Arabidopsis thaliana: one gene and its partners. The protein of the gene in region 4 purifies or fractionates together with the protein of the main gene of each other region. This does not show direct contact. Each region holds a gene or a part of one and is shown on either strand. Other genes may lie near its edges.

Region 1 (7,673 bases), about 16 Mb from region 4:
CGGCGACAGAAACGTCTTCAGCTCTAACTGTCAGCTTCATTGCAATGTCCTTTGAGCTGTCCATTCCAAACTGTGCCCTCACTAACACTTTCACGTTGCCTATGTACACACCTGACAATAGACACGTGTGTGACCTTGCATTGAGCGGAATTGTCTCCGTCCCCTGTTATTTATCCAGTGTCAGTTTCAATTTCAGGAACACAACAAATGGTCATATACTCAAAAAAGACTTTATCAACAATAATTTTAGCCCTCAAGTCTCAGTAGAGTATGAGAAAAAAGTGGAAGAGACTAACCTCACAAGTCTGCATGCCAAGAAGATCCATGACAGCCTTTACAGCTTCTCCCAAACTCTCTCTTTGGCCAAGGCCATATTCGTCTACACGCTCATCTTCTTCATCCATGCTTTCCCACGCATTCCTGAAATTGGAGACACCCACTTTCACCATGTAATCTCCAGCTACAACCTCAAGATCCTCTAGCTGGTACTCATCTTCTACTCCATCATCTTCTGCTTCACCTGTGCTTGGGTCAACCTGTTTTAACACATTCATAAAAGCACAAACAATGTAGTTAGAGAGTTTTCTTTGTTTTCTGTGATTAATTTGAGTCGTTCTGGTACTCCTCTCCAAATGAGTCGTTGTTTATAAGAGTTCTCCACAAAGTATTATGGGGTCATTTTCAGTGTAAGTAAATAAAAAGATGGAAGTGAATAGCCTATTTAACATGTACCTCCTTAACAACGAAAGTCAATGTGTTGGAGAACTTTCCAACAGCAGGGACCCCAGCTGGCTTCTCAAAAACCACAAAGGCTTGACCGGGTGAATCGTAAGGAAGTGAGTTTAGGGCCTTTGAAGTTACTTCACTGAATTCCTCAGCTTCTGAAGCATCTACAATGACATTGACCTACAACCCCATGCCAAATTAATTAAATGAGGAAAGAAAGATAAGATATGCTTGACACTAATATTCTACACCAATGTTCAGTACCCTCTCCAACAACTGCTCTGGTATTGTGTTAGTGCAGTTGTACTGAAACACCACATGACTGTCAAAGATATGCTTAACAACATTGACAGCGTATTCTGTTTCTGCTTCAGTTAGCTCCACAGGTAAAGAAGACTGAAAAAGAAAGTACAAGTTAAAGCAAACAAGATAAGCCATTAACATTAGAATAACACAGAAGACAAATCAGCCCCTAACCTTGAAAAGTTTTCCAAAGGCGGCAAACTCTGGAATGGATGAGAGAAGTCTTTCATAGCCATCAAAACCAGAAGCAGGTGCAGCTGGTGGTGCACCAAGACCAGTGGGCTTTTTACCCTGGGCTTTCTTCTCTGCAAGGGGCTGAGATTTAACTTCCTTAGGTACGGAGTTGATATCAAAAGCTTCTTCAGAGGGCTCCTGCAGGAATCCCAGATATAAGATAACTGATGTCCTAAGAATATTGAAAAGGAGAAAACCGAGAAATAGATTAACTCACATAATTCTTCAGACTAGTTTCCATGTTGACTAGAGGAACCTCCAGGGAACCAAATAGGAAATCCTTGCTCTCTTTATCAGTGTCAACAGTACCATCACCACCAAGAACACTCAAATATAGTGTTGCCCTATCACGGACCTTAAGATAAAAAGATGTCTGACTCATGAGCAAGGAAGGAATCATCAAACAACTTGCATTGCATGCATCCGAAAATGTTTACAGAGGCAAACACATGCATGCATGTTTGATGATGCAACGACTCAAAACAAACAGACATACAGAAACAGCAATGCTTTTCTAGACTAAGACTAGGAACGCACCTCATCATCACTGTCATAGATGCAACGCTTCAATAGAACAGTAATCCGGGGCTGTCGAGCATTATCATCAGTCAAAGAAGATAAACGGAAAATAAAAATAATGGTTGTTATGATGACTATACCTTCAAGGATTCAACCATAAACCCAAACTTTGCAAGTGTGGAAACAGCAGCAGCCCGGACAGTGGCGTTTTCTAGATGCACACGATTATATATATATCGTATATACTTGCTTGGATCTGAGGTGTTAGGCCCCTCAATTCCCAGAAAATGAAGGATCTGTGCGAGAATAAACATTTCAATAACACATAAGTTTTTAATAGCAACCCCAGATGGATGATGGAATAATTACCTGTGTTGAAAGATATGTGAATTCACAATCTTCAATGAATTCACATAGATGAAGCAGTCCACTTTCCTTTGCATCCGGAATATCTCTGATAATGGTCACAATAGAATCTACTATTGCTCTTTTATACTCAAATCCACCTTCTTCCCTAAGAATGTTGCTTAAGAAGGTCATCCTACAAATGAAAAGGTGATAGATCAATCATAAGCCAAATGCTAAAAAGATACCATAACATATTTAATCATTCAAAAAAATAGAAATGCTCGAGACCAAAACTACAAATAACAAACCCTAAAACTTTACTTACAAGGATCTGTATTTCAGTGGGAATTTCACACACAACGATCTTATTGCGTCCACGACCACAATTTTGAACTCATCAGCAATATCTGACATAAAATTAGTTATCTGCTTCATCAAACGTTCTACACTTGATTCGTTCCCTGTTTTCAATAGTGTGGTTATTGCGAGTGTAGCAATGCTTCTATTTTGATCAGAGATTAAACTCTCCATATCAATGTTGCAGTTGGTGACAGCCATAGGATGAGTCATTGCAACCTGTGGTTCAAACTTGTGTTTAGTATACAGTGAAATATCTCCTCATCCTCATGATAAAGGTAATGATGAATCTACCCAGAATAGTAAAACATCATTTCGGTGTCAATGTACAAAGAGAACAGTTGAAAGCATTGCAAACCTTGTTCAGAGTCCGGACAGCGGCAAATCTCAACACTGGTCTGGGGGAACTCAAAAAGAGCTGAAGAACAGTGATTGCTGGAGTCAGTTCTCGGCTTGTCACACCATCAAGCTCAGTAATTGCCCTGGCAGCCTCAAGGATCACCATTTCTGCCTTATGGCGCAGGCAACTCTCCAAAAATTCATAGAACGGACGTTCTCCAGATTGACCGTGGTTGGCCATGTCACGGATAACCTGAATATTAGAAACCAGAGCTAAATAACACATATACAATCAGCCACTTATCAAATGATCAAACAGAAGAGAGGAATAACCTGGCTGGTGTAACGTATCAAAAGACACTGAGCCAAGGGAGAGCGGACAGATCCCCTGGTCAAGCTACCAACCAATTTGCTAACAGCCAAGCGATCATTTTGGCGTATCTGAATATGATGAAAGATTATCAAGTTGATCAAAGATTGACAGTTATTAGATCAAAGATTGAGAGTGTATCATGTTGGGAGTCATTTTAAATCAACGTAACAGCAGCAATACATATCATTTGGTAACTCGTACATCTTAGACACATAAATAGGTTGTCCTAACCAACCTAATTAGTTACATATGCTAGAATCAGCAGTATCTGAGACAGACTCCAGACACAGATTAAACCTCACAAGAAACTAAAATTGCTGGAAAAGGCCGTAGTAAAGAGCTACGATGCTGCTACAGAAAACTTATTATTTATGAATCTAGTCCAATACACATAGTAACACCTCTCATTTTCCGAGATACTTCTTCTCAGTGGCTGTTTAATTAAACAAAGAGTAGAAACATAGACCAATCGACTTCGGTGATAATAATGCAACAAACTAACCTGATGGAGCAAAGCTAGGGCATGGAACTGAACAAGGGCTGATCTGGATTGAATACCTTCTTGAACTTCATTGCTCCATCTTTTAACAATTTCTGGGTTTGTCTGAAAACAGCAATATACGAATATAAGCATAACATTACAATTAAGAAGCTACCTAATAGTTTTGGTGTGTAAAAGGTACCTTGAGCAAGTGAAGCCCACTGACTAAAGCTGCACTTGAAACAACGGGATTCTTATCCACAATGGCTTGTTTCAAGTATCGCTCAATCTGAGTGAGAAGGGTTCCGTCTATTATCCGGCAGAGGACACGGATAGCATTTGCTCGATACATATCAATTTTACTATTCATATCCTTCATCAGAGAGCTTGTTACGATGATAACCTATGGGCGAAAAAACCAACAACTTATCAGAAAATATACCTACAATAAGTGCGACGATGTTCGTATTGAAATTGAGTAAAATTTACAGACCTCATCAGATGATGGAGATAACTCCTTAATGATCAAGTAGACCATTCTCCTCAAACCCGTGTCTTTTGATTGAAAAAGCTTTGTAACTGAAAAGAAAACTTCCGTTGCTTCAACCTGCATATGAAACAAACAACCATCGCGAGAGGATAAGAACACAATAATTCAATTCTCCATAAGCATGACATCGAATCAGTATAAGCAAAAAAATTAACTGACCTTGGTGAATGACTCCCCTTGGTTAAGCAAATAAAGAAGCTTCGTAATGACCTGGGAGCATCGTCTAGGATCAACCTGAGGGTCATTAAAGACTCTAGCCTCTTGAAGAACCGCTCCTTTCTCAATTCCCATGAATGGAGAATACTCCACTGATCCAACAAAAAATCAGAAATCGAAATAAGCAAAGCAATTCACACCGGGATCGAATGCGGTAAACAAAACTAAATCGGACTTGAGATTGTAGATCTACACAACCAAATCACAATCACGACTGTTGAATGATAACAGATCTAGAAGCTTAACATCTGGATCTACATTTTGCAGAAAACCAGCTGATTCGAAAATTATAAGGAGATTAAGAGAGAACACATACACTCATCGTCGTGATCATCGTCTTTCTTCACGAGGGGTTGCGCCATTTCTGATCTCGAAAACCTCCCTTTGAAATTACTCCGTCACTCAGATCTCGCGCTTTCTGTTTCCTTTATCTTCAGATGCAACAGGAGAAAGAAGAAGATCTCTAATCGTTTTCTTCTACTATATGTTTTTGAGTCAGAGAACTCAGAAACTGTGAGAGATCGATAGAGAAAGTGAACTTTTCGAAGCGGCCCAATAGCCCATACCCAAACAAAAAATATTAAAGAAATACTAAGATTATTTTTTTTTTGTCCCAAGAGAAATATTGTATTAATCAAGATAGTCAAAGCTTAAAGAAAAGTCCGCGATTACAGAAACGATTTAGGACCAAATAGGCCAACAGAGAGTCTTTCATAGAAGAAGAAACTATAGTTTGACTCTATCCCAAACCACATGTCGATATATTAATATACGTGTCAGATGAGTACTCTAAAGCGAACCGACTTCATTTTCGCCGTCTGAGCACCGATTTCGGTGAAAGAATCACCGTCGATAGTCTCATAGAACATGGATCTTTTTGTTTTTTCACCGATAAAAAGCAATCGAGGCTCATGTTAAATATACAACAGCTTAAGGCTATGATAATTAACAACAGAATCCACTTCTTTTCTTCAACATCATTCTCAAATTTCTCCAAAAATTTCTGTAAATCAAAACTTAAAAAAGAACAGATCGGATAAGAAGCATTAGAAAGCGAGATTGCATTCACTCTATCACCAACATGTCTCAGATGAGAATTATTAAAAACAAAACATGAAAATAAAAAAACACAGATTAAAAATCGATCTACATCGACGAGAGAAACCAAGAGCCAGCAACCACCGGTTATGTGAACAAGACGCTGCCGGACTAGAGCCAACCAACACCGCTACCAGAGCCGGTGATATCGGACAGAAAGCCCAAAAAGTCAGGACGGCTAACACCAGAAAATATCCGATCGTTGAAACTGATTTGCTTTCTCTCTAAAAAAAATATAAGCGAGAGAACAGAGAGGTTTTGCCCGTTCCCCTAATTATTTCGAATTATAAAATACAACACCAATTAAAAATAATAAAATTTTGGTATTCATATACGTTATAGATACCATAACTTGGTATAAATTAAGGCTTTGTACTCTGCATTTCAACAAAATCACACACTAATTTCTTTTGGTCAATTATTACAACATGTCATTTAAAAATATTTTGATTCTAAACAAAATAGCAAACTATTTAAATTATATATAAATCATATTGAACCTATAAACACCTCTTACAGGTTTGAATGTTATATTCAATTAGTTTACACAAAATTTTAATTTTTTACACTTAACAAAAAAAAATTTAAAATCTTAATAGTAAAATAAAAATAGAAACATTTTTTAATATAAGAAAAATTAAATTATATGTAAACCATATTGAACCTAACCTCTTAGGAGTTAAGATTTATCCAATTAGTTTACACAAAATTAAAAAAAAAACTTAAGATCTTAATAGTAATAGAAAAATATAGGTTTAAAACATTTTTTAATATAAGGAAAACAAGTGTTAAAACTTTAAATAATGTGTAAACCATATTGAAACTAGAACACTATTTAGGGGTTTGGATGATGTATCCAATTAGCTTACACAAATTTAAATATTTAACACTTAATAAAAAAACTTAAAACTTTAATAGTAGTATAAAAATAAAGGTTTAAAACATATTTTTGATATAAGAAAAACAAGTGTTAAAAATTTAAATAATGTGTAAACCATATTGAACCTAGAACACCTCTTAGGGGTTTGGATGATGTATCCAATTAGTTTACACAAAATTTAAAAATTCAACACTTAATAAAAAAAAACTTCAAATTTTAATAGTAGTATAAAAATTTAGGTTTAAAAACATTTATTTAATAAATATAAAAAACAAGTGTTAAAAATTTAAATGATGTGTAAACCATCTATTGAACCTAGAACACCTCTTAGGGGATTGGATGATGTATCCAATTAGTTTACACAAAATTTAAAAATTTAATATTTAATAAGAAAAACCTTAAAACTTTAATAGTAGTATAAAAATATAGGTTTAAAAACAGTTTTTAATAAAAACAAAAACAAGTGTTAAAAATTTAAATTAATTTACACAAAATTGAAAATTTTAACACTTAATAAAAAAATCTAAAAATAAATTTTTATTTAGTAAAAAATGAATCATTAAAAATAGAAAAGGAAAAAAGAAAATACCTTTGCTTGTGATATCGACGAAACACAAGATTTTCAAAAGATCTCGTCGACGCCAAGGAAACACCTAGTACCAAACACAGATCATGATCCATTGATTTGGTTCTATACTGCTCGTTGCTTTCATTGTCCATGTCTTCGTTATATCCCTCTTTCCCACTTTCGCATCCTTAGTCGTCGTTTGTGTTCTCCTTCGCCGTCGACAACTGAATCCATGGCCGGGATCTTTGATCTTGTGAAATTAGGAGAGACTTGATATGAAAGCAATCTGAATTGACCTAAGATGTAGTCACAACAGAGATCAATCACCAAAAAGAGCCGCTTTATCAACCGATCAATCTTACGGTGAAGTTGAAGCAGAGAATGGAGAATTAGGTTTTGGTTTGGAAGAAGAAGAGAGAATGGAGAATTTGGATTTCTCAAGAAAGAAGAGGTATATATAAGTAAAGGTTTGTTCAATCTTACGGTGAAGTTGAAGCAGAGAATGGAGAATTAGTAAGATCGCGTCTTCTCCACGTCAATATTTAGATTCAGAGCAAATCCTTACGTGGTTTAGGTTTCCAGGAAGAAGAAGAGAGAATGGAGACTTTTCTCAAGGAAGAAGAGAGAAGGGGTGTATTTATAAGTACACGTTTGTTCAATGAAAAAAGGAAATTTTGATTG
Region 2 (7,764 bases), on a different chromosome or scaffold from region 4:
TGTTTTGCAATTTCTCATTAATATGAAGAGCCTGCATGAAAATTCGATAAAATGGGACAAAAGGCATCCAAACAACTAATCCCTTTGGGACTTGATGTGTGATGCCTCGAGTCCATCTATGTTACCAGTAGAAGTGAAATAAACTATGCAACAAGTAATGCAAGTATATATTCATTATGGTCTAATCATGATATATTCTTTTCGACACACGTACATATATTGTTGGTTAAATAAATATGAAGGTTTATCCTTCAACCAAGTGAATATGTTGTCTATAAAACTTGGTAGGAATCATGAAGGTTTATTCTTACATACATCATCCCTTTTCAAAATATGTTTAAAGCTTCTAATGCAATTTTGGCTCACTTTCTATCAATCTATATATGAAAGGTTAATCCTTCAACCAATACGTTGTATACTATTTTTGGTAGGAATCATGAAGGTTTATTCTCACTTACAACATGCCTTTTCATTTTTTTAAGTTTCTAATGACATTCTGTCTCACACTTTCTATCAACTTTCTTTAATTTGGTCTTAAACTCGATTACCTATGTTTATTTTAGGGTAATATGCCAATTAGAATTCTATTTGAATATAAAACCATGATTAAAAAGACATTTAGAAAGGAGTAGAAAAGGGCTAAGGAATGGATAAATTAATGATGGTATAAACACGAAAACGATTCAAGCGGCTGAAATGTCAATTATTTGTTTAACTTGCAATAATGATGCTTTAGTTACGATTTTTCGCAAAGCTAAGCAACCTAGTAAATGATATTTATGTATTTAAAATTTACAACCAAACAGAATTTGGAAAGCTATAAATACATCAAACAATTCCTTTTTTTGGTAAATTATATATATATATATATATATATAAGATGAATATTGCGTGTTATCCATTACCTAAACTTAAGCAACTATAACCAATTTAACAAAAAGGAAAAGAAAAAGCAAACTATATAAAAGATGAATGCTATATAACTATATAAGCTATGTTGGTGTTGTAACTCTGAATCCATTAAAAGATTTTCTCTTAAAATTGATAATGTTAAATTAACCAAGAAAATCAAGTTTTTCATACGTTAGCAATGTCACTGAAAGAAACATGACCCAAAAAAAGGAGTGAAGGTAAGTGTACACAAGTAGCATTTAAAGAGTCGGGCCATAAACTCTCGTTTTTTAGTCTGTGACATGGGCCATTCATTACCTAAGGTTTATGTTTGGGCTACTTCACAGCCTGAACCAAGTATCCTTCCATCACCATAAATCGTTGACATGAAATATAGGAATTCGTATATGAGGCATTTGTGTTTTCTTTCATATTTTAGAGGCAAAATACAAACTAATTTTTTTTTAGAGAAACGTTAAAAAGAAGTCGCCATATATTATTTTTCCTCGTTTAACATTTTTTTTTGAAAAAATTGAATAAATGCCACATGTCATCATTTTATTGCACAAGTGACTTGTGTTTAAAAGTGCAAGGAATTTTCAACATAATATATTTTTAGGTTGAATTGTCAAAAAATGCAACATGTCACGATTTAATTGCATATCTGACTTGTCCTCTACATAGTATAAAATGATATTGTTGATGAAACTTAAATCATAAATACTTCAGGCTAAAAATAATCCTCACACTAATTTCACTTTCATAGCAGAAAAAGAAAAAAGAAAGAATTATTTACTACTTTTTTTTTTTTCATTTTACGACGACGTTCATAAACAGAACCAGTGGCACTCTCGTAAATATCTTCATCAGTTCCTTGAAGCATAATTTGTGAAATTTTCTTTTAATAATTTTCATCTCCGCCGTATTAATACAAGCTCTCTGAACGCACTCTACGACGAGCCTAACGTCTTTCTCCGATCGCCGGTTAGCAGATTCAAGCGAGATACGAGATCCGACGAGCAGATCTTCTGCTTAATCTGTAAACATGGTAAGTAGTCGCATCTCGCATTCTTTATTTTTCTCCAGATCTCAATTGAATTTTGCTTGCGATGCGATCTTGGATATTGCATTTCATCTGTAGTAGTTTTGCGTAATTCAAGTGAGATCGTGGAATCCGAAATCATATGGTTTAACATCGCCGTCTTTGTGTTCGTGCGCCTATAGATTGTAGTTTTCGTGAAATCGAGTATAGTGTCTGGCATTTGGTTTTTGAGGTTGAATTTGGATTTTGATCATCGTGTTTTGAAAAGATCTGGTGTTTTCTGGGGGTTTTAAAGCTCTCTATGAGCAACATTTGTTTGCGTTCTGATATGTTTAAGTCTGGAACTAACTATTGTTCTTCTTCTTTATGTTGCAACAGCCTCTCAGACTAGATATCAAGGTATTGCTTATCTTTCAACTTTCTGCTTCTGTTATTTTATTATTATAGCTGTGGTCATAATTTGCTTTTGTTATGTTTTGATCAGAGAAAGTTTGCTCAACGATCAGAGAGAGTCAAATCTGTTGATCTGCATCCTACTGAACCATGGTAATTTCAAATTTGATTCTGCCATCTTGCAACTTAGTTATATGTTATATTTTGGATGTGTTGATGGAATAACAATTTTCACAGTTGCTGTGGGTAGTACTGTATGTTTGTACTTTTATTGCTGCTACAAATGACTGACTTAATAAACAACACGGTGTTACAGGATTCTAGCAAGTTTGTATTCTGGAACCGTGTGTATTTGGAACTACCAGACACAGGTGGGTGAATATTTGAATTTGTTTCTCTATTTTATTAATATATATTTATGCTTGCCATGACATGGGATAACCAAAACATCACACATTTTATGAGTTCAGAGGGCTGTAATTAGTCTTTTAGATATAGTTTTTATGATTTCATTTCATCTCGTCTAATATCATTTTAATATGACTTATACTCAGACGATTACAAAATCCTTCGAGGTGACGGAATTGCCAGGTATAACAAGTTTATGAGCATCTTCTGATTTCATTGTTATAGATTTTTCACTTGCTGTATATTGCCTTGTATAGTCTGTCGCTGTTACTGAAATTTATATATGACTTTGCAGTTAGGTCGGCCAAGTTTATTCCGCGCAAGCAATGGGTTGTGGCTGGAGCGGATGATATGTACATCCGTGTATACAATTACAATACAATGGACAAGGTCAAAGTATTTGAGGCTCATTCGGATTACATTAGGTGTGTAGCTGTCCATCCGACCCTTCCATATGTGCTGTCATCTTCTGATGATATGCTCATAAAGCTTTGGGACTGGGAAAACGGTTGGGCTTGTACTCAGATATTTGAGGGACATTCGCACTATGTGATGCAAGTGGTATTTAATCCAAAAGATACCAACACTTTTGCCAGTGCTTCGCTTGATCGTACCATAAAGGTGTGTAAGAGGTCCAAGCACTGAGCTTTTATGGCTTAGTTAGCACGAGGTACTTTTAAAAGGGTTTTCTTAGACTAATTTTCATGCTTGTTCATATTCAGATATGGAATCTTGGTTCCCCAGACCCAAATTTTACACTGGATGCTCATCAGAAAGGAGTCAACTGTGTAGATTATTTCACAGGGGGTGATAAACCCTATCTAATTACCGGCTCTGATGATCATACTGCTAAGGTATGCTTCTGGTTAAGCTTCCAATATCTGTGCTTTGATTCCCCTGAGAATTATGTATTTGCAGATCGTTTACTAGTGGTACTTTTTCAGGTATGGGACTATCAAACCAAAAGTTGTGTCCAGACGCTAGATGGGCACACACACAATGTTTCTGCCGTATGTTTCCATCCAGAGCTTCCAATAATAATCACAGGTTCTGAGGATGGCACTGTTCGCATTTGGCACGCCACTACCTACAGGTATTTTTACCTAACGTTTTCCTGTCAAAAGACATAACAATGCTTACATTTTTTGGGGTTTTTTAACACTTGAATACACTTTGTTCACATGCGGTTATTTCTTGTATTCATTTTCACCATAGGTTCGCTTTCTCTATTTTGTCGTTTGATTTGTTATCTTCGATTCTCTTTCTCTTTTCAGGCTAGAAAACACATTAAATTATGGTCTCGAGAGAGTTTGGGCCATTGGTTACATCAAAAGTTCTCGGCGGTGAGTTTTTGTACTTTTAATACTTAATGCTTATTAGAATTTTGATCAAAAAGTAGATGTTCTCTATTGGTAGAATTTTTGTTTCTGTCATTATTGTAGCTAGTTTTCCTCTGAAATTGACGATTTGGAGAGATAAGGGCGTTTAGAGTGGCTAGGAGTTTTTTAGGGATCAGTGTTAGCACCTTATTAAACTGATCATACGGGACCATCAACAACGAATGTGTTTGCTTTACAGGGTTGTGATTGGATATGATGAAGGAACCATCATGGTTAAACTTGGACGAGAAATTCCTGTCGCTAGCATGGACAGTAGCGGAAAAATCATATGGGCTAAGCATAATGAAATTCAAACCGCAAACATCAAAAGTATTGGTGCAGGTTACGAGGTCTAGCTCCTAATTGTAACTCTTGTATTCTGGCATGGGAAAACCTGCGTGACTCAGCTATTTATTTGTACTGCCTGATGATTTTAAGCTTTCATCTCTCTACCTTAGGCTACTGATGGAGAAAGACTTCCCTTGTCTGTTAAAGAGTTGGGGACCTGTGATCTTTATCCACAAGTGAGCGTTACTATCCAGCACCTTTGAAACTTTCCTGTTGTGTTGAATTATCATTGGATCTTTTGGGGTAAACACTTTCGGTGCATGTCCCACTTAAATGAGTGTGATGGACTTGTGCATTGAAGTTGTGGTGGGTATCACTAGAGCATGCTTCAGCTAAATCTGTGGTTTTTATGGTTACTTAAAACAATATTATATTTGAAATGAAGCGTTAATAGATGATAAAAATGAAACTCTGTTTCATATGAAGTCCCAAGAGTGTGGTCCAGAATAATTATGTCTTGCCTCACATATAGCTATTCTAACTCTCAGAGCTTGAAGCACAACCCTAATGGGAGGTTTGTCGTAGTCTGCGGTGATGGAGAGTACATAATCTACACTGCTTTGGCGTGGAGAAATAGATCTTTTGGGTCTGGCCTGGAATTTGTTTGGTCATCTGAGGGGGAATGTGCGGTTAGAGAAAGCTCATCAAAGATAAAGATATTCAGTAAAAATTTCCAGGTTTGCTATTCTCATTATGGCCTTACTCATACTATTTTGTTGGAGTATGATTCTAGGGTTGAAGAAATTGCAGATGCTTGCAATAGAGACAGCTATTACTGGCTTATTATATTAATAAAAGGTGGTGTTTTCAGGAAAGGAAGAGTATCCGGCCTACTTTCTCAGCTGAGAAGATTTTTGGAGGAACCTTGTTAGCAATGTGTTCGAATGATTTCATCTGCTTCTATGATTGGGCCGAATGCAGGCTGATTCAACAAATTGATGTCACCGTAAAGGTATCCAATTACCTTGTCTCTGTTGTGAGAAGTTAGCATTCATCACTTTTTTCCAATTCTGTCGTTACATTTTATTTTCAGTTGAAAGTTGTCCCAATTAGTGTCTTTACTAACTCTTTACTCCCATGAAAAATTTGCAGAATCTTTATTGGGCTGAAAGTGGTGATTTAGTAGCCATTGCTAGTGATACGTCATTCTACATCTTGAAGTACAATGTGAGAATCTGTTCAACCTCAAATGTTCAGCTATTATTTTCATTCCCACTTTCGTGGATTGTTCAAAAGCTTACTCTGGTGTTCCTCGCTATTACAGCGAGAGTTGGTTTCCTCGCATTTTGATAGTGGAAGACCAACTGATGAAGAGGGTGTTGAGGATGCTTTTGAGGTTCTCCACGAGAATGATGAACGTGTTAGGACCGGTATATGGGTTGGGGACTGCTTCATTTACAACAACTCTTCTTGGAAGCTTAACTATTGTGTTGGAGGCGAGGTACTCAAGAGTCTATTTTTATTTCTAATCATCTTTATGAGCTACATTATATAATAGCTGCTAATATACCTGTGGCAGGTAACCACAATGTATCATTTGGACCGCCCAATGTATTTGTTAGGCTATATTGCCAACCAAAGCCGGGTTTACTTGGTAGACAAAGAATTCAAGTACGTTCCTTTATATATGTTTATTTGAGACTGTTTTATCTTGCATACATAATTTGCTAACATATTTCCCTTTTTCTTGGGAATGCAGTGTCATAGGATATACCCTGCTGCTTAGCCTGATTGAATACAAGACTCTTGTGATGCGAGGCGATTTGGATAGAGCCAATCAAATTTTACCTACAATTCCTAAAGAGCAGCATAACAAGTATGTTATAGGTTATTTTGGTCTAAATTTTTTGCATTCACTTATAATTCATTCTTTACTACTGCATTTTATCTCTTGTTGCCTGCTATGTCCTATGAATGTACTTTTGAAGAATATTGTGGATATGTTCTGTTAGAGATATTGCCCCCCTACCAATAGGTTTTTCACTGTTTTGTGTGTATCTCTTTTAGTTTGATCTGAAAATGTTTTTAATATTCAGTGTTGCTCATTTCTTGGAATCTCGGGGAATGATTGAAGATGCTTTAGAAATTGCGACAGATCCAGACTACAAATTTGATCTGGCCATACAACTGGGTAGACTTGAAATTGCAAAGGTAATATCATATGTGATGCTTAATTGCTTAGACATTACTTTACTCTACTCTTTTTGGAAGTAGAATTTTTTTTCTTATCTTTGTTTTCCATGCTTGTAGGAAATTGCTGAAGAAGTACAGAGCGAGTCTAAATGGAAGCAGTTAGGAGAGTTAGCCATGTCCTCGGGGAAGGTACATCTTCTCTATAAAAATGTTGCCCAATGATTTGTAGTGGAAAATAGAAAAATAACTTTCTTTGCAAATGCTATATATCAGTCAGTTTACTACTTTACATTGTATCTATAGGAGCAAATTGGTATATTTAGATCTTACAATGCCAATGAGCTTTCTTCTAGCTTTTGCGGATTCATTGCTGATATCTACTACTTACTAAGTGATTCTCTTGCATTTGTGTGTGTTCTATCATGATAGCTGCAATTGGCCGAGGATTGCATGAAGTACGCTATGGATTTGAGTGGTTTGTTACTACTATATTCTTCTTTGGGAGATGCTGAAGGGGTGTCAAAACTTGCATGCCTTGCTAAGGAACAGGGGAAGAACAATGTTGCCTTTCTTTGCTTATTTACGCTGGGTAGATTGGAAGATTGTCTGCAGTTATTGGTGGAGAGGTATTTCATTACTGTTCACTTGGCCGTTTGGAAAAATCAAATATGTGTCTTTTGTTATCTTTATGACAAGAAATTATCTTGACAGTAACCGGATACCAGAAGCTGCTCTGATGGCACGTTCTTATCTTCCAAGCAAAGTTTCGGAGATAGTAGCTCTATGGAGGGAAGATCTCAGCAAGGTTATTTTCGCATCTTTTTTTTGTTTACTGTGTCAATGAGAAAATTCATCATGTGGCTTTAAATTGCCTTTGACTTGTCATCAGGTTAATCCAAAAGCAGCTGAATCTTTAGCTGATCCTGAAGAGTACTCAAATCTTTTTGAGGATTGGCAAGTTGCTCTTTCTGTTGAAGCGAACACTGCAGAGACAAGGTATCCGAGCACTTATTTTCTGCTATTCGCATTTTTCTTCCATGGTCGTTATGGCTTTCGAACTGTAGTTCAATAATTATATATGTACCTAGATATGATTGTACGGATGTGATGGATGCCTTAGGAAAAGAACTTCATACTTGAGCCACTCATTTTTCCCATGATTATGCATTG
Region 3 (7,336 bases), on a different chromosome or scaffold from region 4:
AGTTTAACTCTAATCAAGTGAATTTTTAGTCTTTAGTGTTTTGGACCAGATCACGAATGTTTAATGTTTTGGACGAGAACTTGAGATTCGTCGATTGATATGGATGGTGTTCATCATAGGATTCTGTTTATCCAGAAGTTGGAAAGCTTTTTAGAATGCAGTTTGACAGTGGACAAAACTCCATCATTCGTGTGCCGGAGGGGGTTCCATGACATGACTGGCATGACTATCAACGGTCATGTTTCGCTAGGAAGCGTTCATGTAGTTGCTTTGAGGATCCATGAAGCAGCTACATGATCTTGATAGTTTTGGAAGACAAATGTGTGGAAAATTCTCTCACACTCAAATTCAAGCGACCGGACAAATTAAAAAACAGAAAAGAAGTAAAGAGGCAGCTGTGATCGAGTCATTTCGAGAGTTTGTCCGTGAGCTTATCTACCAGTCTTAACGGTTCATCTAACTAACCACATTTATTGGATATTTCTAACTTTTTCGATAATTTTATAAGTATTTGGAATAGTAAATTAGGCATCAACTGAAAATTCACCAAAAGAAAATGGATACAATTCTGAAAATTTATAAAATATTACGTCTATATTTCTCAATCGAGTTTAAAATCCGATAAGCCTAAATGAAATGTCCTGAGACTGTAAAAATAAAATCAAACAAAAAGAGATAAAGCAAGAAGATAAAGTTCTCATGCGTTTGTTACTAAGATAAGAAACAACATAAAGACTTTAAAGAGTAATAGAAGTTGCAGCGGAAAATTCACAAACACCAAAAGCTCAACACTCTTCTTCCATAAAAGAGCATCTCGTACTTACCTCACGATTGAAGCACATAATCATTCTGACTTGTTCACCGGACTTGAGAGGCAGAGCATAGCAAGCCAGATGCGTCTGCGCCAATGACTGCAAGATCACAGACCGAGCAAATGTTACCTTCCTGGCTTGGTACAAACCGGGCAGTGCAGTAAGGACATGCAACGTCTTTCTGTCCTTTGTAGATTGGCACATAAGTGGACCCGCATATCACAAACGGGTTTCTAAAGTCGTAGTTGAGTGTTGTTGCATCTGTCATGTTGCGTTCAGCTGCTTGCATAACTTGTCTAGCCGTCCTGGCCTGGCTCTCAATAGTTGGGTTTGTATCCAACAAACTTCTGGCGAAGTGAGCAGCAGTAGCCATGTTCTTTGACTTGTAGCAGACGGTCATTGCACTGAAGTACGCGAGCCGTAGGTGAGGTGTTTGAAGTTTACAGTGAGTGAAGTAAGCAGCGAGCTCTTGCTGCCTCACCGGATCATCTTTCATCTCTCTCCTCTTGAGCTCCAATTGAAGACCGAGGACATATTCTTTAACAATGATGACCAGTTCCTTAACCTCATCTACTTCTCTTCTTGACTCAACTACCACCAATGGGATGGTTTGGAGAATAGAGAGGAAGACACGAAGAGCCTCAGATAGTTTCCCAGCTGTTGTAGCTTTGTAGCCGGATTTGAGCTTTGCTTCAAGCTGAGAGAAATCAAAAACAAGAGCTGGCGGGCCACGGACGTTAGGACTGGAAGACTCACTCCATCCACGCTCAATGGCAAGAGGAACCACAGGAGATGAAGAAAAGGCACGCAGATAGCTATGGCTCCCACTGAACAGATCAAGAAACATCGATTTCAAAGGCGCAAAGTTCTTAATGCCAAGCTGCCTGTGGAGCAAACGCATTGCAGTGTCGAAGCTTCCTGCTGCAGCCTGCTCAGCAGCAAGGGAAGATTTCTGACTCCAAATCTGACTTACGGGCATACCTTGAGGAGGTGTCACAAAAGTAGATGAACGTGCGTTAGCAGAGGCTTTAGGAGTGTCAAGCTCTGGTGGAAGATCCAAGTCAAGTCCCCATCCACCTTCCTCGTCGTCTTCTTCTTCACCTGCTTCTGCACCATCCAATATGGCTTCGATGTCTGTGTTCTCCATTCCATCAACATCGAATTTGTCAAGTCCCTCACCCCAGTCGCCTTCAACATCTTCTTCTTCTTCATCAACAGCCCCTCTGTTTGCACTCTCAAGTCCTCCTTCAAATATTCCTTTCATCACTCTCAGTAGAGGCCAATCACCACCACACATGATGGGAGACGGTGGCATTAAAAGCGATGGAGTCTTCCCTTCAGGCAATGAAGGCACATTGTCTCCTAGCTCAATTGCTAGTCGCTCAGCAATGTCAGTTAAACCATGAACCGAAGCTGTGATATAAGCTAGAGGCAAATGACCAGCATTCTCTAGTATCTTAACACGCTCTTTAACATCTCCTAGGTAGAGTGCATTGTGAAACTGACCCATTACATTGTTCTTCACCTCTGCAATCTTCATCAACTTTGACAGCTTGTCTAAATTGCCAGTAATGAGATATAGAAAAGATAACCTCTCAAAGTTCTTTGTCTGCTGGTACGCAAACTCAACAATTCTAGAATTTCCTTGACGAAGAGCTTCCACTCCGAGTCTATACCAGTGGTCTTTCTCATTAATCTCTGTAGCGGATGCAACAGCTACACTGATGTTGCCACTTTCAAGAGCCAAGTTGAATCGGATCCTCTCGTCTTCAACAAAGTGTAGGGCAACTTCAGGAAATCCTTTCTGCTGAAGATAAGCGATCATAGCCTGTCCACATAGCTGGGAGTTCTTTATCATGCTCATGACATGATCATATTTCTTTCTCAGTAGTGCAAGCTTGAAAATGTATTCGGTTGCATTAATGGTGATAGCCCTGTTTTTCCCATCCCGGTCCAAGCAAAAGATTGTATTTCCAGACACCTTGGTGATGTAGATTGGGACATCCAGGGTTCTGATGATTCCACTATCTCCATTAGGCAGACAGTACTTGATGTGGTTCAGAGTAGTGTAAATGAAGACACCATTGTCGTCCCATGCTCCACTTTTCACACGTATTGTCTCATGAAGCGTGCACTGTAGGACAAGTTTTTTGCTCGCAATAATGATAGTATGTTTGCTGAGCAAAGCAACACTCTCCATATCGTTAGACCAAACAACGTACCTAACAAACGGTGTCTGAAGCTCACCAAGAACAAGCCTTTGTTGAAGGTCAAATATAACCACTTTATCCTCAGATCTACAAAGCAAATTTCCAGTCCCAGCATAAAAGATAGCATCTGTGGGAATAGGTAAAGAACTCTTTTTAACCACCTCATTCTTTAGATTCTTCACTAACACCTGGCTGGTGCTTTTCTCCAGAACAGCAAACCGATTTCGAGCAATGAACACCGCAGAACCCCCTGTCCCCCTCTTTGCATCTTGTACAACATCACTCCTGCCAACGCTATCTTTCGGTATGATGTACAACTCGTAAGAACCACCATCCAGATCTGAGCAGATTAAGACTGCATTTTCTGTCGGACTGTAGGATAAAGTCCTCGGACTTTGATTCAAGCTTGGGGTACCAGGACGCCGTATAGGAATAACTTGGGAATCTTTTTGAGTTGAATATTCATAGTACCGCAGAAATCTATCTTTGGCATAGAATAACGAATCACCACTCAAAGCAAATGCAGGACGTTCTCTCTCAAGTTTGAAAACAATCATACCATTGTCATGTCCTGCTGCAAGTAGATTAATCTCAGGGTGAACTGCAAGAATCCAGAATCGGTCATGCTCACGACGAAAAGTTTGGATTCCAGTTCGCTTGGTAGCATCCCAGACACGGATGCTTTTATCCTCAGAGTTTGACACGATAATGTCCTGTTTTGCATGGAACATAACGGATGAAACGTTATTCATATGACCTCGCAATGTATCCACCTCCCAAGCTTTAGTTTCTGCAACAAAATTGAAACGCATCAGTACCTCAATGATTCATAAAATTAACTTTCTGTGAAGAAGAAGACAGATATCCATAAGAAATACCATTCATACGCCACAGCTTTACTTGGCGGTCATCGGCACCAGAGACAATGAGAGGAAGTGTGGGATGAAAAGAAGCCCAGTTGACTCCTCTATCATGACCTTCAAGGACGTACTTAACTATAGCGTCAACCCCTCCAAAAAGATCAGAATTCATCTGACTAAATCGCATGAGGTCATCAGCAGGAGATGCTGACTTCTTCTTAAGAGCACCAATGTCCCAAACACGGACAGTCTGATCCAGTGATGCTGATACAACAAGATCTTCCTTTGGATGGAAAGAAGCACACATAACATAATGATTGTGACCAGTCAACACGGAAATACAAGTCCTAGACTGCCAGTTCCAAATGCGGATAGTCTGATCGTCACTAGCACTCACAATCCATGGGTTTTCGTGGTGAAATTGGACAGTGCGGATATAATCAAGATGCCCGAGAAGAGTGAAAAGACACCTGTGAGTTTTGTAGTTCCAAACTTTAATCTTGTAATCATCCCCTGCAACATCCAATGTAATCAATGCCATCAACTACATATGAGTAATGTTCTGTAAGAGCATTATAACTGTAACGAAGAAGAATCCAAGCCATTTGCATTTCTAGTTGTTTGAGTACTTACTTATGTTCAAATAAAATACTATGCAACATGTACCATAAGATCTGGTTTCAATGCACTAGGTCCAAATCATCCAATATGTTATATAAGTAACTTAAACACAAATTATTTACTCCAGCTGGGACTATAAGAGCTTAAGTCATCCATTAAACAAAGGTTGGGAGACCAAGCTAGATCTAGGAACCGAGGAAGCTAACTAGCTAAGGGTTAATACTTAAGCAGATCAGGATTTATCGATCATGAAAGTGTAATAAACAGACTTATTGGCCTACCAATAACAAAGCATACCTCCAGAGACGAATAAAGGCTGTGAGTTGTGGAAATGAACACCACGAACAGGTCCTTCGTGCTCATCAAATCTGTCGATCAAAGTACCCATACGATAATCCCAGAGCTGGATCACACCACTGTGTAAACTCGCGAGAATCCATGGTCGTTTAGGGTGGAAACTCAGACCCTTAACTCGGTTACTCTTGGTCTCGAACTTGGTCAGCATATTCACAGATTACGAAACAGAAACAACTCTACAAAAACCAGATCAACAGAGAATGAAAATCATGGAGAAAGATCAGTTCAAAGAAATCGAAAAACCCGCAAAAGGAAGAAAAAAAACGTAATCCACGTGAAATTGAAAACAGATCTAACGATAAGAAGCAGCAAGATCCGAGAAATCGAGATTCGTACAATGAAGAAGGAGAAGAAATAGAGATTCACCTCAGATCAGATCAGTTCACAAGGGGAAGCGATCAAGCTCAGCTTCACGGTGACGATCAGTAGCATTACCAGAGAAGCGTGGATGCGAGAGCAAGAGAAACACAAGGATCGTCTAGAAGAAGAAGAAGAAGAAGAAGACGGTGAGATTCAGTTTCGTCGTATAGATCTGAATCCCTCCGCTCAGTTATCTCTGTCTCCAATTTGCGTCTCGCTAATTTAATTGGCATGAATTACTCATTTTTACTTTTATTTTATATGGAAGCATCAACTTTACATTTTTTATTCCAAGATAATTAAAATCTGTAAAATTTTGACTACAGAGCTTCATATTTTTAAATCAGATAACACTTCAAATGCTCAATCAAAAAATTATTACATGAGAGAAAACAATATATTAATTGGGGTTATTGAACTGATATTACACAAAAATGTATAGATAAATACATGATTTACGACATTAACCCTGGAGTAATTTCATAATTTCATTAGCCCTGGACTCGATTCCTTTGAGATACTCGGTCAAAATTCGCTGCTGGTATGAACCCCCTTCCTGGTATGATCAGAATAGTTGTGGTTAGAATGATGAATTTTAGAAAACAATATCTGGTTAAAACCCCAACCCAAAACCCGGTTAGCCTCGCATTCACTCCTGAAGAGAATAATAACAATGCAAGCAAATGTGTCATGGTATGTTACTTACAGTTCGAATCAGTGTGCGCTCGATTCGTTTCTTGATAACAGCAGATAGCTCATCAGGTGTGATATCTCCTTTTCCGATTGTTAACCCGTCTACGAAAAGCTTGTTCCATTGTTCCTCAGGAGCTGAAACACACATAATAAACCGATGTGAAGTCTGGCTGGGGTCTATAGTACATGGAAAAGTGGTTGCAGAACAGACCTTTGATCAGAGTTTCAAGAAAATGCTCGGCTTTTACAACTTCGTTCCCTGTGACAATAGCTATAGTGGATGAGATTATGTTCGTAGAAAATGGTTTAGAGTGACTTGGCATAGTTTTCAAAATTGGGCAAATCACCTTTCTTTGCGTAGCTACGCTTGGAGAGGATAGTAGCAGAATAGAGTTGAAGAACTTTTTGCAGCATAGCCAATAACCCTGGTTTGTCTTTATCTTCTTTTGCCTGAAAACAATCGTCAGCCTCAAACATTCAAAAGAATACATCTATTCACTGTAAAGGAAAGACCTCAGAAGTGAAACAAAACAAATTGTAGCACTTACCTGCCGGAGCTGAGCATTAACTTCTGAAAGAAATCCTTCATCTAATTGCCCTTCTTTTTCCCGTTGTATAATTTCCTGTTAATACACTGATCTCAGTAACCATGACGATATCAAATCACAGAATCTAAGACCAGATAACCCTTCTGAATATAGGTTGTATATATAAAAAATGTGTAGATGTAGTAGAAAGTGAAGAACAACTAGTATAAACCTTTTTCATTAGATTGATGGCTTCAGGATCTCTTGGCGGCCATGAAATCTCTTCCACTCCATCTATAGCAGGTCTTAAAATCCCTTTCAGAATATCAGTAGACGTCTCTATCTTTTCCTAAAGGGATATAATGAACTCTCAGTTATCCCTGTTTAAGTAAACGCTGAAGAAGAAGAGACAATAAAACCACAGAAGAAAGAGAAACCCGAGTCTTATTCACAACACAGTCAACTATAGTCATCACAGTTGTAGCTAACTCCTCATAGTCCTTCTGTAAGAAACAAACCGTATTCAAAGCATTAGCGGAAACAAAAGAGATCAAAAGTCTGCTCTATCATTGACATAAACAATATAAACTCATGCCTTGTCATCTTCTGATTTACAAGTATCCGACCTAGCTGCTAGTCTTATCCAAAAAACCTCATCAAAAGCAAGGATATTTTCAACAACAATCTTCTCAACCTGTTCAATGAAAATGGCAACAACAACAAAACAAAACTCAATTTACTCAAGATAATAGAGCAAAAACACAACATTTATACGATGCATATGACATGTTTCCTTACTTGTCTAGGGTTTGCATCTCTAAGAGCATCAATCATCCGATCGATTTCGACAGTCTTCTTAAAGGCATCTTCTGGATCTCCCTTGACTGCACAGATCA
Region 4 (4,173 bases):
CTTCAAAGCATTGTTGTTTGAGAATCTACATATATATTTTTGCAGCCATTCTGTGAAATAAATCTTCAAGTTGGGACTTATTTACAGTGGCTGCCACTGATATTTAATAATTATTTTTGATAATTAGAAAGTAAATCTTCGAATTAAATATTTGCATTTAACTACCTTCCCAAAATCTCTCCGCATTAACTATACGATTAGTTACTAAAGTAAAACTTCTAAAATAATTAATATGATTTAAACACTACAAAATTATCATTTTTGATATTGCTTTTTTTCATGATTATAACAATTCGATTATAAGCCGCAAACCATAGAGATATTTGATAGCAATTAATTACTACAAAATTACAAAATATTTAAACAATGATTCATAAACATATCATAAATAAAATCAACATTAATAAAATAAATAAATTTTTTTACGGGACGGGTTGGCGGTACGGGTTTGGCAGGACGTTACTTAATAACAATTGTAAACTATAAAATAAAAATATTTAATAGATAGATACAATTTGCAAATTTTTATATATACTAACTTTAAAAAAAAATTGTGATTAAAATCTAGTACCACAATAAAAACAGGGACTTCGGCTTTTATTAGGAACAGAGTTTCGATGTCTGAGAACCAGGACAGATGTTTCTGCATAATTCATGTACAGTTAAAAACACATCTTGATCGATTCAACATGAAACCAAACACAGACTCCATTCATTATTATTCGCAGAATCTAGAGACCGAAATGAAAAAAAAAAAAACCATTCTTGAGCTCTGTTTGTTCCTAAGACGGTGAAAGCATATCACCAGTCATCTTCTCTGCTTTCTCCCCACGCTCACCTGAAAATGTTTTATCAACATGTACACACGTTTTAAGGCAAGCCAAGATCTGTGTCTTTCTTTTAAAAAGAATATGGCTTTTGAAGTTTTTACCTGTCCTAACTCTTATGACATCTGACACAGGCAAAACTGTATATAACCAAACAAGAAACAATCACAATCTGAGTAATTTCATTTTGCATTTACAATTTGAGGTATCAAACATAAATCTGATTGTGAAAAGAGTAACAAGAAAACTTTTTGTGTTACCAAAAATCTTGCCATCACCAATCTCTCCTGTCCTTGCTCCTTCAATTATTGTGTTGATTACAGATTCCACCTGCAACAAGAAAAAAAAAAGTAATGGCTCAAACTCGAATTTCGCTTATGAAGTATCGATTTTTTTAACCATATACGTACTTGGTCTTTCTTAACAACGATTTCCATCTTAACTTTAGCAACAAATTTGTCTTCCGAGAACTCAGAGCCTGCAAATGCAACAATGTGTATAGAAAAGTCATGAACACATTTTGACAATAAGAAGAATCATCAAACCAATTCTTGAATTCACGGACGTACCACCGTGTCTCTCGGTAGAACCTCCTTGTGCACCAAACCCTCTCACATCAGAAACAGTAACACCTCGAATCCCGATTTTCAGTAAAGCCTATTTATTTATGAAACAGAGAAACTCAAGATTTAGTTTTGGATTTTTCAAAAGTGTAATAATCATCTCTATATACTAAGGAAGTAACAAGTACCATCTACAATAACTATGAGAACCATAAACCCTTCAATTCAAATTCACATTTCAAACACTAGAGAAACGAAGATTTGACCAGTCCTGTCGAGTTCACTGACATTATTTGATTTTCGCATGCATCGATAAGAACTACTACTCTTACTTATTTCTCAAAATTCTGTTTTATAGTATTCAAAATCCACATTTAAAACACTATAGACTCTTCATGGATAACAAGTAATAATGGAAACCTCAAGTGATTAGCAAAGTTCAAATCTTTTCACATATCAAAGTTGAGAACAAGGAAAATCTTACCGATGAAACTTGCTGGATTCTCCATGGTCTTTATCAGTCCAACATTCATACATGAACAGAGAAGAAACAAGCAACATTGTCACAATTATGAGCTTTGATTGGTACATCAAAACAAAAATTAGAAGCTTACCTGACAATTGCTTCCACCTTGTAAAATTTCGAGTCTGGAATATAATCTAACAAAATATGAAAAGAGAAATGCTATGAACACACAAAAGAAACCAAATTGATCGAAAAAAGGATCAGAGACTCATTACTGTTGGCTTACCAGAAGATATTTGGGCACTAACGACAGGTAAAACACGACTGTTATTACTCGGTGACTTTGTGACCAAATCGAGGCAAGATGGTCGGGAATGTCTGAATCCAGAACAAATCGAAATGCAATCAGAGAAAGCAATGTTCTTTCGATCAGAATAGAAACCGAGAGAAGTTATTGAGATGGGTTTCGTCATTGACGCCGCCATGATTCTAGTTTTTTTTTTAACACAACTTTCAGAGTTTCCTCTTTACCAACTGATTTCGACCATCGAAAGCGACGACGAAGGAGGTAATTATTGGAAGTGGAACTTCGAAGTTGACGACGAGTCGGTTTAGCTAATAAAACCGGTTTAGTACAGAAATTGATTTCCGGTTTAGATCGGTTTAGTGAAGTGGCTCTGATGGAATGGAATCGAATCAAGTCTGCTTTAAAGTTACGATTTTTCGATCTCACACTGGTTAAGGTGAAACAAAAATGGCTGAGGAAGAGTTCATATACAGAATCAGTACGGAACAAGAATGGGAAGAGTTTAAGAAGAATGGATCTTCTTATGGTGCAGAGATTGATAAATCAACTTGTTATTATCATCTCAGCAAACTTGATCAGGTCTTTCTCTCTTCCCATAAAGATCTCAACTTTTTCATTTGGGTGATGAAGATTCTCGAAAATTTTCTCATTTTCTTAGGCAATTTGGTTTGAACTTGTGAAAAATCATTACTTTTATGTAGATTTTTACTGCTTTTGTGATGAAATCGATTCTCTGATTTCTAGGTACAATTGACATTGAAGAACTTTTTCGTGGATGTGAAGGAGTATCTTTACCTTCTTCAAGTCGATCCTAAGAAGGTTGACTTTTACCTTTAACTTGAAACATATGTGGATAGAAAATTTATGATCATTTTTGTGTTAGGGATCCTCTAGTTTGGTGAGTGGTTGATTTGGTAAATGTTAGTTTATTGCGTGATTAGCTCCATGTTTAAGTAGAGGAGCAGTTAGCTAAAGTGGGTATGAGTTAGCTAGAGTTGGTTATGTGTGGTTTGTGCTAAAGTTTAGTGTTATTTTGTACACTTGAAAACAAAATGGGTTTCAAACATTTTTCTTACCAAGCTGCAATTGTGGATAAACACAATCTAAGTAGCAGAACCATGATCTTAGGATGGTCATGGACATTGATGTAAAGTTCTTACAAAATTGTCATTTGAATCGTTATGCTACGTTGATGTTTTGGATACATTTTAGTGCTAAGAAGAGATTGACATTTTTGTTTTTGTTTGATGTGCTTTATTTGGCAGCTTGGAGATGGATTAATCTATGAAGCTGTGGATGAAGTAAATAGCTTCCCTCACTTCTATGGTCCAGACAAAACCTTCGTTCCTCTTCCTCTAGATTCTGTCGTCAAAGCTGAGAAGCTAACATTCATCAATGGAAATTTCACATGCAGCTTCTTGACTTGATGATTCACTGCTTTAAGTTTAATTGCAATGTCACTCTTTTAATAATGTAATTAAGAAAGTTTTTTTCTTCTTATTCACGAAACAGAACCAAAAAACAAAGTGTATTATTACAATGCAAGATTAAGATCTAAACCATTATCTTTTCTCATCACCTTCTCAACTTCTTCTTCTCCTTCATCATCATCTTCTTCTTCTTCATCATCTTCTTCTTCTTCTTCTTCTTGCTTCTCTTCTTCTTGGTTCTTGGTGGAGATAATCGAATTCGATGGCTTTAGGTTTAAGTCCATACAGTGAGAAAAATCTTCAGCACGGAATACAGGAACAATGCTGTAGTCGGATCTCTTGGTCGGCATCGAAGCAACGTCGCCAGAATCTTGAGTTAAGTATTGTCGTCTTCGTTTCTTAGCATCCTGGTAGTTTTTAATGAGATTGAAGAACATGTCCATCTTCTTGTTCTCCAACTCTTCTTCTTCGTCTTCATCGATCTCGTTGATCCTTTTGTTCTCTGTTTTTTCTTCTTCTTGGTTCATTATCTCTTTTCGATGGTGAAGAAGAAGAAGAAGAAAGTTTTGTTTTTCTTTCT

Evidence for each region.
Region 1: the proteins of GLB1 (region 4) and AT4G34450 purify together in Arabidopsis thaliana (affinity purification with mass spectrometry, with the first as the bait; one study listed by BioGRID). This does not show direct contact.
Region 2: the proteins of GLB1 (region 4) and AT3G15980 purify together in Arabidopsis thaliana (affinity purification with mass spectrometry, with the first as the bait; one study listed by BioGRID). This does not show direct contact.
Region 3: the proteins of GLB1 (region 4) and AT2G21390 purify together in Arabidopsis thaliana (affinity purification with mass spectrometry, with the first as the bait; one study listed by BioGRID). This does not show direct contact.

Annotation. Positions count from the first base shown.
Region 1 is NC_003075.7:16,469,091-16,476,763, reverse strand, and holds the start of AT4G34450 (coatomer gamma-2 subunit, putative / gamma-2 coat protein, putative / gamma-2 COP), read right to left. Parts: upstream 6,029-7,673; 5' UTR 4,809-6,028; coding exon 4,763-4,808; intron 4,539-4,762; coding exon 4,390-4,538; intron 4,288-4,389; coding exon 4,174-4,287; intron 4,084-4,173; coding exon 3,883-4,083; intron 3,804-3,882; coding exon 3,702-3,803; intron 3,268-3,701; coding exon 3,160-3,267; intron 3,080-3,159; coding exon 2,846-3,079; intron 2,707-2,845; coding exon 2,456-2,706; intron 2,324-2,455; coding exon 2,152-2,323; intron 2,079-2,151; coding exon 1,923-2,078; intron 1,852-1,922; coding exon 1,801-1,851; intron 1,619-1,800; coding exon 1,481-1,618; intron 1,402-1,480; coding exon 1,204-1,401; intron 1,123-1,203; coding exon 991-1,122; intron 907-990; coding exon 733-906; intron 537-732; coding exon 297-536; intron 164-296; coding exon 1-163. UniProt on the Arabidopsis thaliana protein: The coatomer is a cytosolic protein complex that binds to dilysine motifs and reversibly associates with Golgi non-clathrin-coated vesicles, which further mediate biosynthetic protein transport from the ER, via the Golgi up to the trans Golgi network.
Region 2 is NC_003074.8:5,412,486-5,420,249, reverse strand, and holds the start of AT3G15980 (Coatomer, beta' subunit), read left to right. Parts: upstream 1-1,756; 5' UTR 1,757-1,936; coding exon 1,937-1,939; intron 1,940-2,311; coding exon 2,312-2,332; intron 2,333-2,417; coding exon 2,418-2,479; intron 2,480-2,642; coding exon 2,643-2,697; intron 2,698-2,880; coding exon 2,881-2,917; intron 2,918-3,029; coding exon 3,030-3,355; intron 3,356-3,456; coding exon 3,457-3,588; intron 3,589-3,678; coding exon 3,679-3,827; intron 3,828-4,008; coding exon 4,009-4,077; intron 4,078-4,312; coding exon 4,313-4,463; intron 4,464-4,551; coding exon 4,552-4,637; intron 4,638-4,933; coding exon 4,934-5,138; intron 5,139-5,272; coding exon 5,273-5,413; intron 5,414-5,553; coding exon 5,554-5,628; intron 5,629-5,725; coding exon 5,726-5,902; intron 5,903-5,980; coding exon 5,981-6,072; intron 6,073-6,160; coding exon 6,161-6,277; intron 6,278-6,497; coding exon 6,498-6,612; intron 6,613-6,711; coding exon 6,712-6,783; intron 6,784-7,023; and 6 more. UniProt on the Arabidopsis thaliana protein: The coatomer is a cytosolic protein complex that binds to dilysine motifs and reversibly associates with Golgi non-clathrin-coated vesicles, which further mediate biosynthetic protein transport from the ER, via the Golgi up to the trans Golgi network.
Region 3 is NC_003071.7:9,150,100-9,157,435, reverse strand, and holds AT2G21390 (Coatomer, alpha subunit), read right to left. Parts: upstream 5,497-7,336; 5' UTR 5,227-5,496; intron 5,037-5,226; 5' UTR 5,009-5,036; coding exon 4,801-5,008; intron 4,396-4,800; coding exon 3,901-4,395; intron 3,813-3,900; coding exon 859-3,812; 3' UTR 530-858; downstream 1-529. Other genes in the region: AT2G21385 (uncharacterized protein), read right to left, coding at 5,684-5,776, 5,927-6,048, 6,125-6,172, 6,261-6,363, 6,462-6,536, 6,673-6,789, 6,878-6,943, 7,036-7,134 and 1 more. UniProt on the Arabidopsis thaliana protein: The coatomer is a cytosolic protein complex that binds to dilysine motifs and reversibly associates with Golgi non-clathrin-coated vesicles, which further mediate biosynthetic protein transport from the ER, via the Golgi up to the trans Golgi network.
Region 4 is NC_003075.7:819,904-824,076, reverse strand, and holds GLB1 (nitrogen regulatory P-II-like protein), read right to left. Parts: upstream 2,532-4,173; 5' UTR 2,342-2,531; coding exon 2,143-2,341; intron 2,051-2,142; coding exon 2,005-2,050; intron 1,903-2,004; coding exon 1,875-1,902; intron 1,485-1,874; coding exon 1,397-1,484; intron 1,306-1,396; coding exon 1,238-1,305; intron 1,158-1,237; coding exon 1,088-1,157; intron 968-1,087; coding exon 932-967; intron 839-931; coding exon 783-838; 3' UTR 508-782; downstream 1-507. Other genes in the region: AT4G01897 (dihydroorotate dehydrogenase), read left to right, coding at 2,611-2,742, 2,908-2,982, 3,429-3,590; AT4G01895 (systemic acquired resistance (SAR) regulator protein NIMIN-1-like protein), read right to left, coding at 3,698-4,120. UniProt on the Arabidopsis thaliana protein: Participates in sensing carbon and organic nitrogen status and regulates some steps of primary carbon and nitrogen metabolism.